3 linked regions of the Struthio camelus genome follow. The protein of the gene in region 1 purifies or fractionates together with the protein of each later gene. This does not show direct contact. Links are inferred from orthologs where the notes say so. Each region holds a gene or a part of one and is shown in the gene's direction. Other genes may lie near its edges.

Region 1 (4,712 bases):
CAGCTCCTGCAAGTCCTCCTCGATGCTGGGCAGGGGGTTTCTCCAGAAGAGGAAGGAGCTGAACTCGGGGCTCTCAGCCGTGCTCCTTTCGGGGCTGGGCAGACGCTGGCCTTTTCTCAGGTGCTTGTGCTGCAGCGCAACACAGGACAGGGTGTCCCTCGCCTGCAGCCTGCCCAGGGACTCTGCAGGGCTTCGTCCCTGTCCCCTGGAGGGTCCCGGCCCCTGCCCGCACCTCGGAGGGCTGCATCCCTCTCCCCAGCCCTCACCCCAGAGGAACGTGTCCCCTGCCCGTACCTCGAAGGACTACATCCCTGTCCCCAGCCCTCACCCCAGAGGGTCGTGTCGCCATCCCTTACCTTGGAGGGCAGGTGGAAGCCAGCGAGGTGCAGGGGGGCCTCGGGGTGCTGCGGGGTCGAGCTGAGCTGCACCTGGGGAGGGAGCGTGGCGGGTTGGCAGGGCTAGAGCTTGCCACGGCAGCGGGGCCCAGCCCCACAGGCAGCCCTGTGTCTGTCCCTACCTTGTCCTCGGGCTCCCGCCGGAGCCGGTCAGAGCCGACGATCTCCGCCTCCAGCTGGTAGGTGAGGGCGAGCACTTGGAGGTCAGTGGCCGAGAGGCTTGGGTAGTCGCCGGTCTTCTTGGCGAAGTCGGTCACTGCGGAGAGACGGCCGGGGTGGCGGCGGGGGCCGGGCCGGGCCAGGGGGGGACCGGGTCAGGTCAGAACCAGGCTGGGGCAGTGGGAGGAGGTAGGGACTGGGACCAGGTTGGGAGACTGGTCAGGGAGGGGTGGGAGACACTGGGATCCAGGCTGGGGGTGGGGGGGAGGCAAATCAGGGCTGAGACACTGGGGCCAGGGCTGGGGGGTGGTGGGGGGGAACGAGAAACAAAGGGACCGCAGACGGGGAAGGGGGGGGCGACACCAGGGCCGGGGCTCACCGAGCCGCACGTAGTCGGGCCGCGGGCGGCGGAAGTGCAGCTCGTAGGGCAGCGCGGCCAGGCGCCGCCGCGTCGGCTTGTCGCGGATCTCAGCCACCACCTCGGGCACGGTGTACACGCTCTGCGCCATCTCCTGCCGGCGCAGCGCCGTCAGTCCCGCTCCGCCCCGCTCCCCCCGGCCCGGCCCGGCCCCGCCGCCCGCCCCGCTCCCCCCGGCCCGGCCCGGCCCCGCCCGGCCCCGCCGCCCGCCCCGCTCCCCCCGGCCCGGCCCGGCCCGGCCCCGCCGCCCGCCCCGCTCCCCCCGGCCCGGCCCGGCCCGGCCCCGCCGCCCGCCCCGCTCCCCCCGGCCCGGCCCGGCCCCGCCGCCCGCCCCGCTCCCCCCGGCCCGGCCCGGCCCCGCCGCCCGCCCCGCTCCCCCCGGCCCGGCCCGGCCCGGCCCGGCCCCGCCGCCCGCCCCGCTCCCCCCGGCCCGGCCCGGCCCCGCCCGGCCCCGCCGCCCGCCCCGCTCCCCCCGGCCCGGCCCGGCCCCGCCGCCCGCTCCCCGCGGCCCGACCCCGCCGCCCGCCCGGCCCCGCCGCCCCGCTCCCCCCGGCCCGGCCCGGCCCCGCCGCCCGCCCCGCTCCCCCCGGCCCGGCCCGGCCCCGCCGCCCGCCCCGCTCCCCCCGGCCCGGCCCGGCCCGGCCCCGCCGCCCCGCTCCCCCCGGCCCGGCCCGGCCCCGCCGCCCGCCCCGCTCCCCCCAGCCCGGCCCGGCCCCGCCGCCCGCCCCGCTCCCCCCGGCCCGGCCCGGCCCGGCCCCGCCGCCCCGCTCCCCCCGGCCCGGCCCGGCCCCGCCGCCCGCCCCGCTCCCCCCGGCCCGGCCCCGCCGCCCGCCCGGTACCTGCAGCGGCGCCGCGCGCAGAAAGGCGCCGGCGTCGGCCACGACGTGCGCCACGCGCGCCATGACAGCCGCCGCCGCCGCTACTGACCCCTACGGCGCCCCGTACCGCGCCGCGTCGCGCCGCCCCCTGGGAGCTGTAGTCCGCGCGGGGCACGCCGGGAGCCGCCGGCCCGCGTGACCCTCTTCCGGGCCGCGCGGGTCAGGTGACGAGCGCGGGTCACATGACGGCGGTGCCTAGAGCCGGAAGTGGGAGCGCAGCGGCCGCCGGTAACGGGGGTGGCGGGACGGCACCGCGGGCGGAGGGGGGGGGGAAAGACGCGTCCGCCCGGCGCTGCCGCCGCGCAGCTCGGCCCGGCGCTGCCCGCGGCGCTCCGCCGAGCGTGGCTCGGCTCGGGGCGGCCCGCTCCGGTGCTCTCCCGGCCCGGTGCCCCGGTGCCGCGGCCGCTGGCGGGCAGGGCCGCGCGCTGCGCTGCGCCCCGGGCCGCGGGGAGGGGCCCGGCCGCGCGTCCGGCCTCCCCGGGGGGCCGGTCGGGGCTCACCGGCGGGGCCCCGGTGCCCGCGGAGGCGGCTGAGGGTGCCGGTACCGGTACCGGAGCCGGTGCCGCCCCGCGGTGCAGCGGGGCCAGCGGTGTCCGGGGGAAGCGCGCGGGGAAAAGCTCCCGACGTGCTTCAGGGAGGGCGCGAGAGGAGACGGGGGGCGCCGGGGCCGAGCGGAGGGGAGCTGGACGCGGAAGGGAGACGGGAGCGAGGGGCGGTGCACGAGCCGGGAAGGAGAAAGTGGGGGAAAGAGTCGAGATTAAAACAAAAAAAAAAAAAAAAGGGGGGGGGAGAGAAAGGGAAAAAGAAGAAGGAGGCATAGCCCAAACGGGCGGCGGGTTTGTCGTCGCCATATGTGGGCGATGGCCTGGGGGCTCCGGCCGTCGGCCCTGCGCGCTCCGGCGTGGCGACAGCACCGGCTGGCGAGGGGCGATCCCTGCGCGGGAGGTGAAACTGCAAGCGGTTAACGCTGCCAGATTGCCCTCCTGAACTCTGGCGGAGTTCAGCTCGGGGCGAGCTGGCGCCGGGACGGGCTGGCGTGGGGTGGGGGGGGGGGGAGAGCAGAAACAGGGCCTGTGTTTATGGGGGGAGGAATGGGGATCCAGATTCCTGCTAGAGGGGAATGAGCCCTGGGTAATAGTAACTTTGAGGGCCAGACCGCTAATATTAATGTAAGAAATGCCCTACAGGGCAGGCTCGCAGGTCCCTCTAGCCCCGTATCTGGTTGCAGGCGGTGGCTGTTTGGGAAGGGCACATGAGTCTGGCTGGTTTTTGTGGTCCTTGCGAACGGCACTAATGAAATAAGCTGGTAATGCAGAGGTGGGGACTCGCAGCAAACACGAGGAATAACGATATCCTAAGGGAAGGACAGGGTGATCTGTGGGCAGAGTAATTGGAGTAGGAATAACTGTAATAATAGCAAATGCAATTAGCTTCATAAAAAGACCTCCTTCCACAAGTAAATTCTTATCCGTTGGGAGTGAGGGGGAAGGGACAGGCATGCATTAGCAAGCCTTGACCCACCAATCTGACAGAGCCAAGAAAGCGGCAAGTCTGATATCAGAGCTTTCCCAGGCAGAAACGGGGACTGTGCAAGGCCCTGGCGAGGCCTCAGCTGGCGTACGGTGTGCCGTTCTGGTTTGCCGTGCTCAGGAAGGCGATTTCCTGCTGGGGTGGCACACAGAAGGGGATGGAGAGTGACGACTCGGTTCTACTACAAAAGGAGGTTTAAAAGGGACTGGTCAGGCTTTGAGGTGGAGCCTGCTAAGGTAGAGCAAGGGCCTGGGTTTGGTGGCCTGGCCGACTCCGCTAGCCCCAAGGGGTTGTGGGTTGTGCTGTGGTGGTTTCTCCAGCAGGAAGGCAACGCTTGGAGAGCCTTTGCAACGTGGAGGGGGCGATGGCTGGGCGCGGAGTGGACGGGGAAGGAAAGACTCCTGTGCAGCAGAGAAGCTGGCAGAGAGCTGGAAGTGGAAATGTGCTGTCTTTCCCCTTTTTGTACTTTTTCCTGAGGGCTCGTGATCATCAGGGTGGAGGTAGGATGGAGAGGCTGGCGGGGACTCGAATCCAGAGCTGGTCAGGAGGCGTGCTTTCGGCTTCGCAGGGTTGGGAGGGCGATCGGGTTTGACTCAGTCTGAGCTCTCACTGCTGCCCCAGGCAACAGAATTGAGACTCTTGTGTTCACATCTGCCCGGGGAATAACCAGCGAGCGCCTCCATCCGTCCTGTTGTGTCGGGTGTTTATGTGGGCAGGCCCCTGTGGTCTGTGACCTTGGAATTTACTGCAGGCGCCGCTTCTCTGCCACAGGATTGTGTTAGTCTGGATTCAGCAGGTCCCCTCTAGCTCTTCTGCCTGTGAAGTGCGTAAAGGATGACTGCTGTCTGCAGGCTCAGGAAGATGGTGGGAATCAATAGCCTACTCTCTTGGGCCCAAACCAAACAACTCGTGCTTGTGCATGCTGCATGACTGTACTTCTGCTTTGTTGTCGGTTGTTTCGGCAGAGGCGCAGCCACGTGTTCTGCTGCGTCCCTGGCCATCCCAAGTCCCCTTCCTGCCCAGCCACGCGCTGCCCGCTCCCAGCCCCGGGCAGGCGTCTCAGAGGCGAGGTGCGCAGGTGGTGCAGGGGCAGGGTGAAGCGCTGCGGCTGCAGTGACAGTCATTGTGCCCGAGAAAGTGAGGAAGTGGTGAGTGCTTGAGAAGCTGGAGGCCCCAGTTTCCTGTGCTGCAGCGTGATCCTTTGCAGCAGTTGAGAGCAGCTGTGGTTCCCATCGCTTAGCTGCTGCGCTGCAGGGTTTTAGGTTTTTTTTTTCTGTGAAATTTTGCCACCAGGAAATGACCTGGCCTGTCCTCAAGGGATGTGGCTACTTT
Region 2 (4,712 bases), on another chromosome or scaffold:
CATATTGTGATTAAAAGCTCTGATCTATACGTGGGCAAGTATAATTCAAGTTAAAATCTTAAATGCTGTCACTTCTTAATGCCTCAGTGTAGCCATATGTAAAATGGGGATAATTACTTACTTCATTAAGGTGTGGTGTTTGTAAAATGTTTGAGTCTCGGATGAAAAGGACTTTCCTTGCAAAATGTAATTATAATAATATTATGCCAGAGGTAAGGCATAGGCCTGTGATTCCACATACAGTATTTAAATACAATTACTTATCTATCAAAATCAGGAATCTGCGCTACTTTTCCCTCTCTCAGCACCTGATCTTCTTACCATTATTAATCTGAGTAATCCTCACGGACTCCAATGCATCTGCTCACATAGTCCTTCAATAAGGTGTACAAGCGTACACTCAAAAACTAGTATCACGTCTCAATTATCACTATTTTTCTTGATTTTCCCCTGTTTGTAATATTCTTTAAGTTCTGGTCTCATAGTTTTAGAGGGATACCTCCCCTTGACTTTTCTGCAGGTGCCCACTGGCATCAGAAGCACTTGCACATGCTTTTTAGAATGTGCATAGTTTTAAATAAACTTAGTCTAGGGCAAAAATAGTTTCACAAATCAGCTATCAGCTGCAACACTGAAGAATAAGTACAAATCATTTCTAAGACTCGCATGCCCACTGGTCTCATCTGATCCATTTATCTTCTCTAGGTAGTCCCGGCCTTCCTGATGGTTCTCCCTATTTCCCGCAGCACCGCGTGCCCCATGCCCCTTCTCTTTCTCTCAGTCCTCAGAAGGGCCTTTCCGTATCTGCCAAGCACCATATGTCCTGGAAATTTCGTATAGTTGCCAACCACCACCTTTCAAAGCAACTTCAGGTTTTCTCCTGCTTGTTCTCCAGCAAGGCACCTGCAATGCTACAACTGCAGCATCCGGGTGTTGGTCCTGCACGCCTCCCACAGCAGCCCACCACGCAGCTGGACGAGGAGGGATGTCCACCTTTTAAGGAACGAGGATGACGCCACGAGCGAGAGGCCAAAGCAGCTGAAATGCCAAAAGCAGCAGAAAAGGGGGCTGAAGAAAGGGATGGCAGGAGCAGAAAAGATTGTTCTGATGCAGGCCCGAGAGAGATGAATTCTGGGGGGGCAAGAGGGAGGTAGTGGGGAGGTGGGTTGGCACCCGGCCAGCAGGGGCCAGCTGGGGGGGGGGCAGCAGGAGCCGCGAGCCCCTCTCTCCTCTACACCCCCCGCATTTCTGGGGGGTTCCCCCTGCCTCGGGCTACTCCCGCGCCTCCCTCCCCGCCTCGCCTGGCCCCCCACGGACCCGCCCGAGGCCGGGCCGGGCCGGGCCGACGGGCGCCCCGGGGGCGGGGAAGGGGAGGGCTGGCGGGCGGCTTCCCACCAGCGGGAAGGGAAGGGGACGGGACGGGACGGGAAGACTCTCCGGATCTGCCCCAAACTTGGCAGCTCTGCCCTCCTTGTGAGAGTTGCACCAGGCACCCGCCCGGATTGGCAGGAGCCTGTGCCCTCCTCTTCCTCCCTCTTTCTCCCTCCTCCTTTGGGTGGGTTTCATCCCTCCTCTTTCGCGAGCGGGGCGGCGGAGGGGGGAGTTAGTAAAAGAAGGGGGGGGGGGTGAAAAAAAAAAAAAGAAAAGAAAGAAAGAAGAAGAAATCCCAAGTCAGGTCCCCGACGTCTCCGGGCCGGCGGCCGCAGCGGCCGCCCCACATTCCTGGCATTCCTGGGCCGTGACTCCCCGCGCCGCCCCGGCCCCGGCCCCGCCGCCGCCGCCGGCCCCTCGGGACACCAGTCCCCTCCCTCCCTCCTGCCCGCACCCGCGGGCGGCAGCAGGAGCCCAGGGCGCCCGGCCCCCCCCGCCGGCGGCCCCAGCCCCCGGCCGGCCGCCCGCCCGCCGAAACTCCCCGCCGTGGCCGGGCCGGGCGGCGGCAGCGGCTCCCGCCAGCGGCACCGGCACCGGCACCGGCCCGCCGCGCTCCTCCGCCTCGGTGCCGTCGGCGGCCGCCTCCCGGGCCGAGAGCCGCCTCCGGCGGGCCCGCGCGGAGCCGGGGCCGGGGTCGGGGCCGGCCGCGCTCCCCCGGCCCGGCGGCCGCGCAGCAGGTAAGGAGCGGCGGCCGCCGCGGAGTTTGCTCGAGTCTGCCCGGCCCGTCCCCGTGTCGGACGTGTCCCGGCTGCTGCCGGCGACCGCGGGCTCGCGCTGACTTCGGAGCCGTCTCAGTAATGTCTTTTACGGTGTGTGTGCGGGTGTGCATGTGTGCGAGACAGGGAGGGAGGGAGGGAGAGGCGATATTTGCTTAAGGCTTGCTGTGCCTTATAGTGTGCAATTATAGCTCGGCGACGTATACATGACTGTTTGCAAAGTATGAGAATAGCTAAGCTTGGGTTATGCCTACCAATCGATGGCTTGTGATAAACACGGTTTGAACAGCCCTTCCAGTTTATAAATTTAACCAGATAGGCTCCTAGATAACAGAGCATCTCCATAACCAGTAGGTGTTTGTAAATAGGCAGGAGCAGCCTGGGCTGTCGGCTGAGCTGCCCTTATTTACACTGCGGCGTGACTGTGTTTAGCTTTCCGCTCCCCCCTCGGATTTACCTTGTTCTTTGTTAGTTACAGTGAAGCCTGCCCTGGCCGTTTGTCTCCAGCAAACACTGTAACACCGAGTTACACCGAAGGAACTGCACCAAGGCCGGGAATAATGACATCTGCTCTCGTTTCTGATGTGGGCAAAGTCAATGAATTTTTAACATCCCAAACTGACTCTCTTTCCGGGAGTGTATTTGGTACTACAAGTATTACATAATGTATGTGTGGCATATGTGTATGATGTGTGCTGGAGCTTTCCTGTCGGGAGCACTTTATCTGTGATTTGCATGAAATAATCTTATGTTTCCATTAGAAGCTCTCTGTAACTTCTGACAAGGTGGAAACGAGCGGTGACTGGTAAAGGCTCTGATTGAATACATTGTTGTCCAAAAAGTTTTCTGAGATTTTTAGTATGTGGCCTGAAACAGTAGTTGAAAGAACTATTTTTACCAGAAACCATTTTTTTTCTTTAAAGTCTGTGTAGATATTTGCTGTTAGTTTTTTTTTTTAAACTAAAAACACTGTTATATGCTGAAATTATTTAGAGTTTGTAAAATCTATGTATAAAATGGCTCCCCCAAATCAGAGGTCAAAGCCACCTGCCAACCTCGGGACTATGGGAGAAGTTGGTAAGGACAGCTCTTTTGGGGGAGAAATGTGAAGGGCGGCAACCCCAGTGGGGGCTAGTGTCTAGTTATCTAGCTGCGAATGTCCTATCAAATATGAGTGACAAAATACAGATTACACAGCTTTTGCTCTTGCCCTCTGGGGGGTCTGTAGCTGACATCTAGTACTTGTTACATGGTGTAAAATAAAGCATGCGTTGATGTTATAGTTATGCAAATAAGCTTTAGGCCCTGATCTATTATTGGCAGTGCTTTCTTGAACTTCTCTTGGTTTCTTCAGAGAGGCTGTGCCAGAGGTGCTTACAGGCAGAGGGCACTTGTGTGTATCTAATGGGACATGATACAAAAGTTGGGGATTTTTTCAAACTTCTTGTTTGAAGCTGGGTCCATCAGCCGGAGGGTAGTCCGCTAAGTCTGTGGGAGAGCTTGCAGCCATCAGTTCTGCTGTGGTATTTGTGTGGGAAAAGCTTTAAAGTGCCATTGACTCCAAGCGATCTCGGAGGATCTAGTAGTGCAGATCAAGGCCTGCGTAAAGACTGCATGCAGCGTTGATCAAATCAGGATCTGCTGGGACTGAGCAAACTGAGCTTGTGTATGTACGTTATACTACAATTTTAGATGTGTCTTTTAAATGTTTTTGTAATTGTAGCAGAATTAGCTTTGGTGCAGTGTTGTTTATGAGGATCACTAGCAGCCAACGTTGTTACTATTAATGACTGATGAAGTACTTCTTTACCGGTCGTTCTTGTCCAGCAGATGCCTGGGCGTCAGTTATCATAGTTTAGGTATGGAGCAGTTTTCTATGAAACAAATCTGCTTGTGTGTACTTTTGCAAATTGTCTAGGCTGCCAGTGGCAAGTACAATCCTGGAGAAAGTACTCAATCTAAAAAGAGTTTCCTTCGTGCTTTTCAAAACTATACTATTTCCTTTTTCTATGTTTTTCTGGTGCCACGACAGTCAAAGGGGTGTAGAAGACCACTCTTTGTTCTATTTCTCCTCATATCCAGTGAGGCTGCATTAGATTACACGCTACTTAAGTGAAGTATATTGTTTTAATTTGGGTTTAAAGTTAACATTCATATAACATACGCGATGTGAAAAGTGCACTTGAAGTACAACTCCTGCGTTGGAAGCAAGTGCTTGTTTGTTGCAAGGTTTAGTTAGCTGAGGGTTTTTTATAAACTGCTGGTAATATGCAAGTTGTAAGAAGTTTTCGGCAGACATTGCTCCTTACTAGTGTATGTATAGATCTTAGTCCTGCAAAGATTTACCCACATGCTTAAATTCTTATTCCTGAGTAGTGCTTGTGAAACCATGGAATTTCTTTTATATGCATAATATTAAACATATATACAAATCTTTGCAGGAGCCAGGCTGTAACATTTAGTATGCAGTATATTAGTACATATGTATCCAACTCAATTACAAGAAGTTTTAGATAAGTGGACAAACGTTATGCTGAACAACTGCCATAAAAGCCTTTTTTTAAT
Region 3 (4,712 bases), on another chromosome or scaffold:
TCCCATGAAATCTGATAATACAATTAAGAGGTTTTCCTTCTATTTGGTAACAGAAGCACAGTACAGTACTCTGTACATGCTATTCTTAAACTTAACATGACCTGTACTAATAAATCTTCCCTTTAAGACAGAATAATTAAACACAGAAACTTTCATTATGTATAGAGGTAAAGAGGAAAAGGGAGGAAATCCTGCCAGGAAAATAATAACATTAGTCCATTTCTAACCTGTATTTCTCTGCCAACTTTGTTTCTAGACTGTTAGGCCTTTTTATGCACAACCAAGTTGTTCAATGAGGAACATAAGAAATGCAACAAACAAGAGTAGGCCGTGTAAGTTCCCAAAACTTGGTCTGTTTGCTTATTAATAACCGTTGTGGTAGCCAGAGATGGGCTTCAAGTGAGGTCCTGGGCACATCATGCTCCCGCTCCCTCCTCCCTGTGTACCTTCACTCCCACCCCCACCTCGAAACCAACCCCCAGCTCTCCACTTCTCTGCCCTCCTACACACACATACTAGGGCTTAAACTCCACTCCTGCAAGTCCTTATCCAGGCTAATGACCGCCTGCGTGACAACGCTTAGCCTGCCGCTCAGGTCAGCCTCCGAACAAGCAGGCTGTCTGGATAAAGGCAGTGATCTGGGCTATACGGGACAAAGTTCTGCCATGAGCCATTACTGATAGCAAGAATCTGCTTTCATGAGAGTGTTTATCCTAGGGATCTGCTATACCCCCCCCCCCCATACAAACGCTCCTTTCTACTATGGCTCGGAGCTGTATGCCCAGCTGTTTGGAAATTGTTTTAAACTACGACTGCGTATCTGACAGTTTGGGAACCTAGGAAGGAGTCGTACTGATCTGACAGGCCACCAGGGTGAAAGTTTTCACTGTTTTTACCCCAGGAGGTCATCAGTGTTACATCAATACATAAACATTTACAGTTTTAGAAAGACGAGTGAAGGAGAAGATCACAACGTTTTTCTCCTCCTCCTCCTCCTCCTCTCAGAGAATGGTGCTTTTGCCTTGAATTTTCAAAGGAACAGAAGACAAATAGGTTCTTGACTTAAAATTAGTACAGAAAGATTCCTACTCCAGATCATCTTCTAGGCCTCAAGGATGTCTACTTTATTCCTTATTTATTTATTCGTGCCTGATGGGGATAAGCTGCTAGGCTACGCATGCTTTGTGGACAGAATAGCCTTGCTGATAGTGCAGAAGGAGGAAAAATACTACCGAAAAGAGGGGGAAAGGGCAGCGGCGCACAAACCCTGTGAGGGGCTGAGCGTACACACCCACCCCGAGAAGGGCTGGGGACACCAGCCAGCAGGGCCAGCGCCCGGCAGGGCCTTGGTGGCAGGGCGCTCAGCACAGCCCCTGGGGCTGCCGCGCTGCCAACGCCAGCAACGCCGTCAGCTCCACTCCCCGAGCAGCTCCGGCGGCGGGGGTTACACCGAGGCGCAAATCGCTGCGCCTCGCATAACGGCAGAGAAGACGGACAAACCCATACGTTTCCCCCACCAGGCAGGGCACGCCCGTTTAAACACCTCCACGCTTCCCCCCAACACCCCGCCCAACGGCCGACCAGCGGCCCCGCGCCTGCGCAGAGGCGCGCGCGCCCACCGTCCCCTTCCCCCCCCACTCCCGGCGGCGGTCGGTCCCCGGCGCGTCACAGAGGGCGGGGCCGCAGCGCGCTCCTCTTCCCCCCCCCCCCGCCCAACGGCAGGAAGGGAGGCGTTGGTGGGCGGTGTGGCCCCTCCCCTGGTGGAGGGCGGGGCGCGGCGGAGCGGGGGGAGGGGCGGCGGCGACCGGCTCCGTCGCTGGAGTGGGCGAGGAGGAGGCGGCGGCGGCGACGGCAGCGACGACGACGACGACAGCGGTTGAGCGAGCGGGCGGGCGGCGGGGAGGAAGGGCTGAGCGAGGATCGGGCTGGTCGGAGCAGCTGCGGCCGCGCCACTGTGTGCGTCCGCCGGCGGCCGGGATGGATCACCACCAGGCCGCCAGCCGCTACCAAGTGGTGAGTGCGGCCGGCCGCGGCGAGGCCCGGCCGCCGGGTCGGTCCGTGGCGGGGAGGGGGAGGTGAGCCCACTCGGAAGCCCTTTCATCCCCGCCCCTTCGCCTTTTTTTCCCCCTCCCCCCTTCTTTTTTCTACTACTCCCCTCCCCCCCTTTTTTGGGGCCTACGCGACTCCAAATGTGAGGGTCTGACAGAGATCGCCTCGCGTTTCTCCAGCAGTGATGTGGGCCCGGGCCCGGGCACGACCCTGTCTTTTCCCTCCCTCCCTCCTGCCCCCTCCGCGATAGCCGCCCCTCCCCGGGAAGGGAGGGGGGGATTTGGCTTCGGCAGGGGCCCGCCGCGGAGCTGTGTGCTTGAGGGGGGCTGCCTCAGCCCGGCCGAGCTGCTCGCTTGTCTTCGCGGAAAATCCCGGTGCCCTTCCCTGTTCTCGTCCGCCCTGCGCAGGCTGGCCTTGCTTCCCCTCCCTTAGGCTGCCTCGGGGCGGTCGGTGGCGGTGCGGGGGCTGTTGAGGGCTGGGCTGAGTTGAGCTGAGGTGGGATGGCAGCGGTCTCCTCTCCGCTCGGGAGGGCAGTATGTTTTTCTTGCCCGGTTAACTGATTGCGTGGTAGCTGTCTTGATCTTCGCTGATCTAGCCGGGTGGCTTATGCTTTCCTCTTAGGTAAGAAGTAAATGGACTCCTCTGTATAGCTTGTTACTTTTGTGATGTTCAGGAGAAATTCGTAGAGCCTGGCTTTGTTTGAGTATTTCACTGATAGTTCAAGCTGTTGTCCTGGCAAAAGTTTATTTGAAGAACAGTATTTTGTGCTGTCTAGCTGTGAAATTAAGGATAGGGCAATATCTCTAATTAATACATGTGTCAGAGAATGAAGTGTCACTTGTATTCTAAAGCCATTGTTAGCAGTTGCTTGGCTATCTAGCACAGGGATAGATTTTAATGTGTGTATATTCTAATCTTAAGTAAGCCATTGCACATATGTGTATGCGCACACACACGTGTACTGTGGCTGACTAAAGATTAGATTCAGTGTACTGTAAAACACTGAAGACAGATCTTCTGTAGGCCTGTGTTTATGTATATATGTATGTATATGTGTACACACACGTGGGTGCATGCACACATACACCAAGGATAGTGGTTTACTGAAGTACTTTACAGTTCATTGAGTCTAATTTGAATGCTCTTTCCTTCCTCCTAAACTTCATTACTGAAAAAGTAACTTAGTATACTAAGCTCTTCTTCCAGCCTGAGTTGAGTGTACTGCTTGTTTCAATCAGTTGTTAGTTTAGTGTCAGTTATAGTTAAAAGGTGTATGCTTTTCTGATTATGTCACAAAAATGGCTTACGTGTAGTCAGCCTCTTCAAAATTTTCAATTTTAACCTTTAGTTCCATGTACTTCATGGCTTTGCTACATATTTAAGGGGGATACCATACAAATGTGAAATCTTTGCTACTGATTGTAGTTTAAACCTCTTTTACAATCCTCCATCTAAAGCCTGAATTGTTCATCTTACTGTTTGTGTTTTACAGCTTGAGTAGTGAAAACAATGAGCACAAAAGTAGTCACATTTACTTTTGTTTGATCTGTTATCTTGTATTTCTGGGTCTGGTGATATTAATGCCATGTTCTAGAGGTAAATGGCTCTTCTGGGTTGCAAGCAAAGAACTCCTAAGAGTGAACTTATGTAAAAATAAATACAAACGTTTGTATTCGGATTGTTCCTAGGTTATACTCTAAAATGAATAATGAGAAAGCCTTTGTTATGCATTTGAAATATTCATTTTGATAGTCCTACCAATAGTATGGAAGATTTCTGTTTGCTCTTGCGTGATTATATTGTGGGACAGTCATATAGCTGAAGAACATACCCGGCAGTCTGCATCTTCTCAGGAGTGAAGTATACCTTTAGGACACTAGCAGGTCCCAATGCACTGTATGGGTTAGTTAGCAGCCTTCTAACATACTTCTCTTCCTGTGCCACATTACCATAATTTAGAATTAGCAGAAGTCCAAAAGTCATTGGCTCTTCTTTACAAAGGTGAATGAAAATGCTGGCAGAGCATTTTCTGAGGAGCCTTCAAATGCTATATTCCCTCTGAGGTCTGAAGTAACCAAGTTATGTTTTAAAAGGCCTTAAAAGTGTATGCTGTTAGAGGTCTGATAAATATAATGGAAATTTTGCTTCCGTTACTCAGAGGAGTAGAAAAAAGCATGGTAAGATGGAATGAAGAGATAATTTGCCTCTGTAATTTTTTTTTTTGTTATATTTGATTTAAAACTTCCAACTATGGTGCTGGTGCCCAGCTTTGAATAAATGCTTTTTGTTGCAGTGTTCTAAAAGGAACGATATTGATGTAATATAGTAAGAGTTGGCCCAATCAATTTCCCATGTATATTAAACTTTGTGGCCAATTTATGTAACTGAGTTTTGTTACAGAAGTGTTCCCTGAAGCCTGTGCAATTACAGCACATTAAATAACTGACTACAAATTCAATAGAACGACAAAAGTGCTGTTTTAATCTTTGATGCACCACCGAGTTCAAAATAAGATCTTACTGATTACTACCTTTTAGGAAGGACCGTATTGTTTTTCTTTTACTATACATACATCTGCCTACTTGACACTGAGACTTTCAAAATGTTATTTGCTTACTCTGCTGGGTCAGAGGATGGAAGAACAAGACAATTGCAGATACACT

Evidence for each region.
Region 2: the proteins of WWP2 (region 1) and PTPN14 purify together in Homo sapiens (affinity purification with mass spectrometry; 3 studies listed by BioGRID). This does not show direct contact. The link is inferred for Struthio camelus from reciprocal best matches to the Homo sapiens genes WWP2 and PTPN14.
Region 3: the proteins of WWP2 (region 1) and NDFIP2 purify together in Homo sapiens (affinity purification with western blotting; 3 studies listed by BioGRID and IntAct, with this or other methods). This does not show direct contact. The link is inferred for Struthio camelus from reciprocal best matches to the Homo sapiens genes WWP2 and NDFIP2.

The regions. Positions count from the first base shown.
Region 1 is NC_090951.1:1,475,625-1,480,336, reverse strand, and holds the start of WWP2 (NEDD4-like E3 ubiquitin-protein ligase WWP2), read left to right. Parts: upstream 1-1,989; 5' UTR 1,990-2,078; intron 2,079-2,648; exon of another isoform or gene 2,649-2,795; intron 2,796-4,712. Other genes in the region: RNA-binding protein NOB1, read right to left, coding at 1-129, 357-428, 518-651, 934-1,066, 1,812-1,874. UniProt on the Homo sapiens protein: E3 ubiquitin-protein ligase which accepts ubiquitin from an E2 ubiquitin-conjugating enzyme in the form of a thioester and then directly transfers the ubiquitin to targeted substrates.
Region 2 is NC_090944.1:115,141,332-115,146,043, reverse strand, and holds the start of PTPN14 (tyrosine-protein phosphatase non-receptor type 14), read left to right. Parts: upstream 1-1,373; 5' UTR 1,374-1,555; intron 1,556-2,072; exon of another isoform or gene 2,073-2,108; intron 2,109-3,593; exon of another isoform or gene 3,594-3,813; intron 3,814-4,712. UniProt on the Homo sapiens protein: Protein tyrosine phosphatase which may play a role in the regulation of lymphangiogenesis, cell-cell adhesion, cell-matrix adhesion, cell migration, cell growth and also regulates TGF-beta gene expression, thereby modulating epithelial-mesenchymal transition.
Region 3 is NC_090942.1:175,522,740-175,527,451, reverse strand, and holds the start of NDFIP2 (NEDD4 family-interacting protein 2), read left to right. Parts: upstream 1-1,725; 5' UTR 1,726-1,977; coding exon 1,978-2,013; intron 2,014-4,712. UniProt on the Homo sapiens protein: Activates HECT domain-containing E3 ubiquitin-protein ligases, including ITCH, NEDD4, NEDD4L, SMURF2, WWP1 and WWP2, and consequently modulates the stability of their targets. As a result, may control many cellular processes.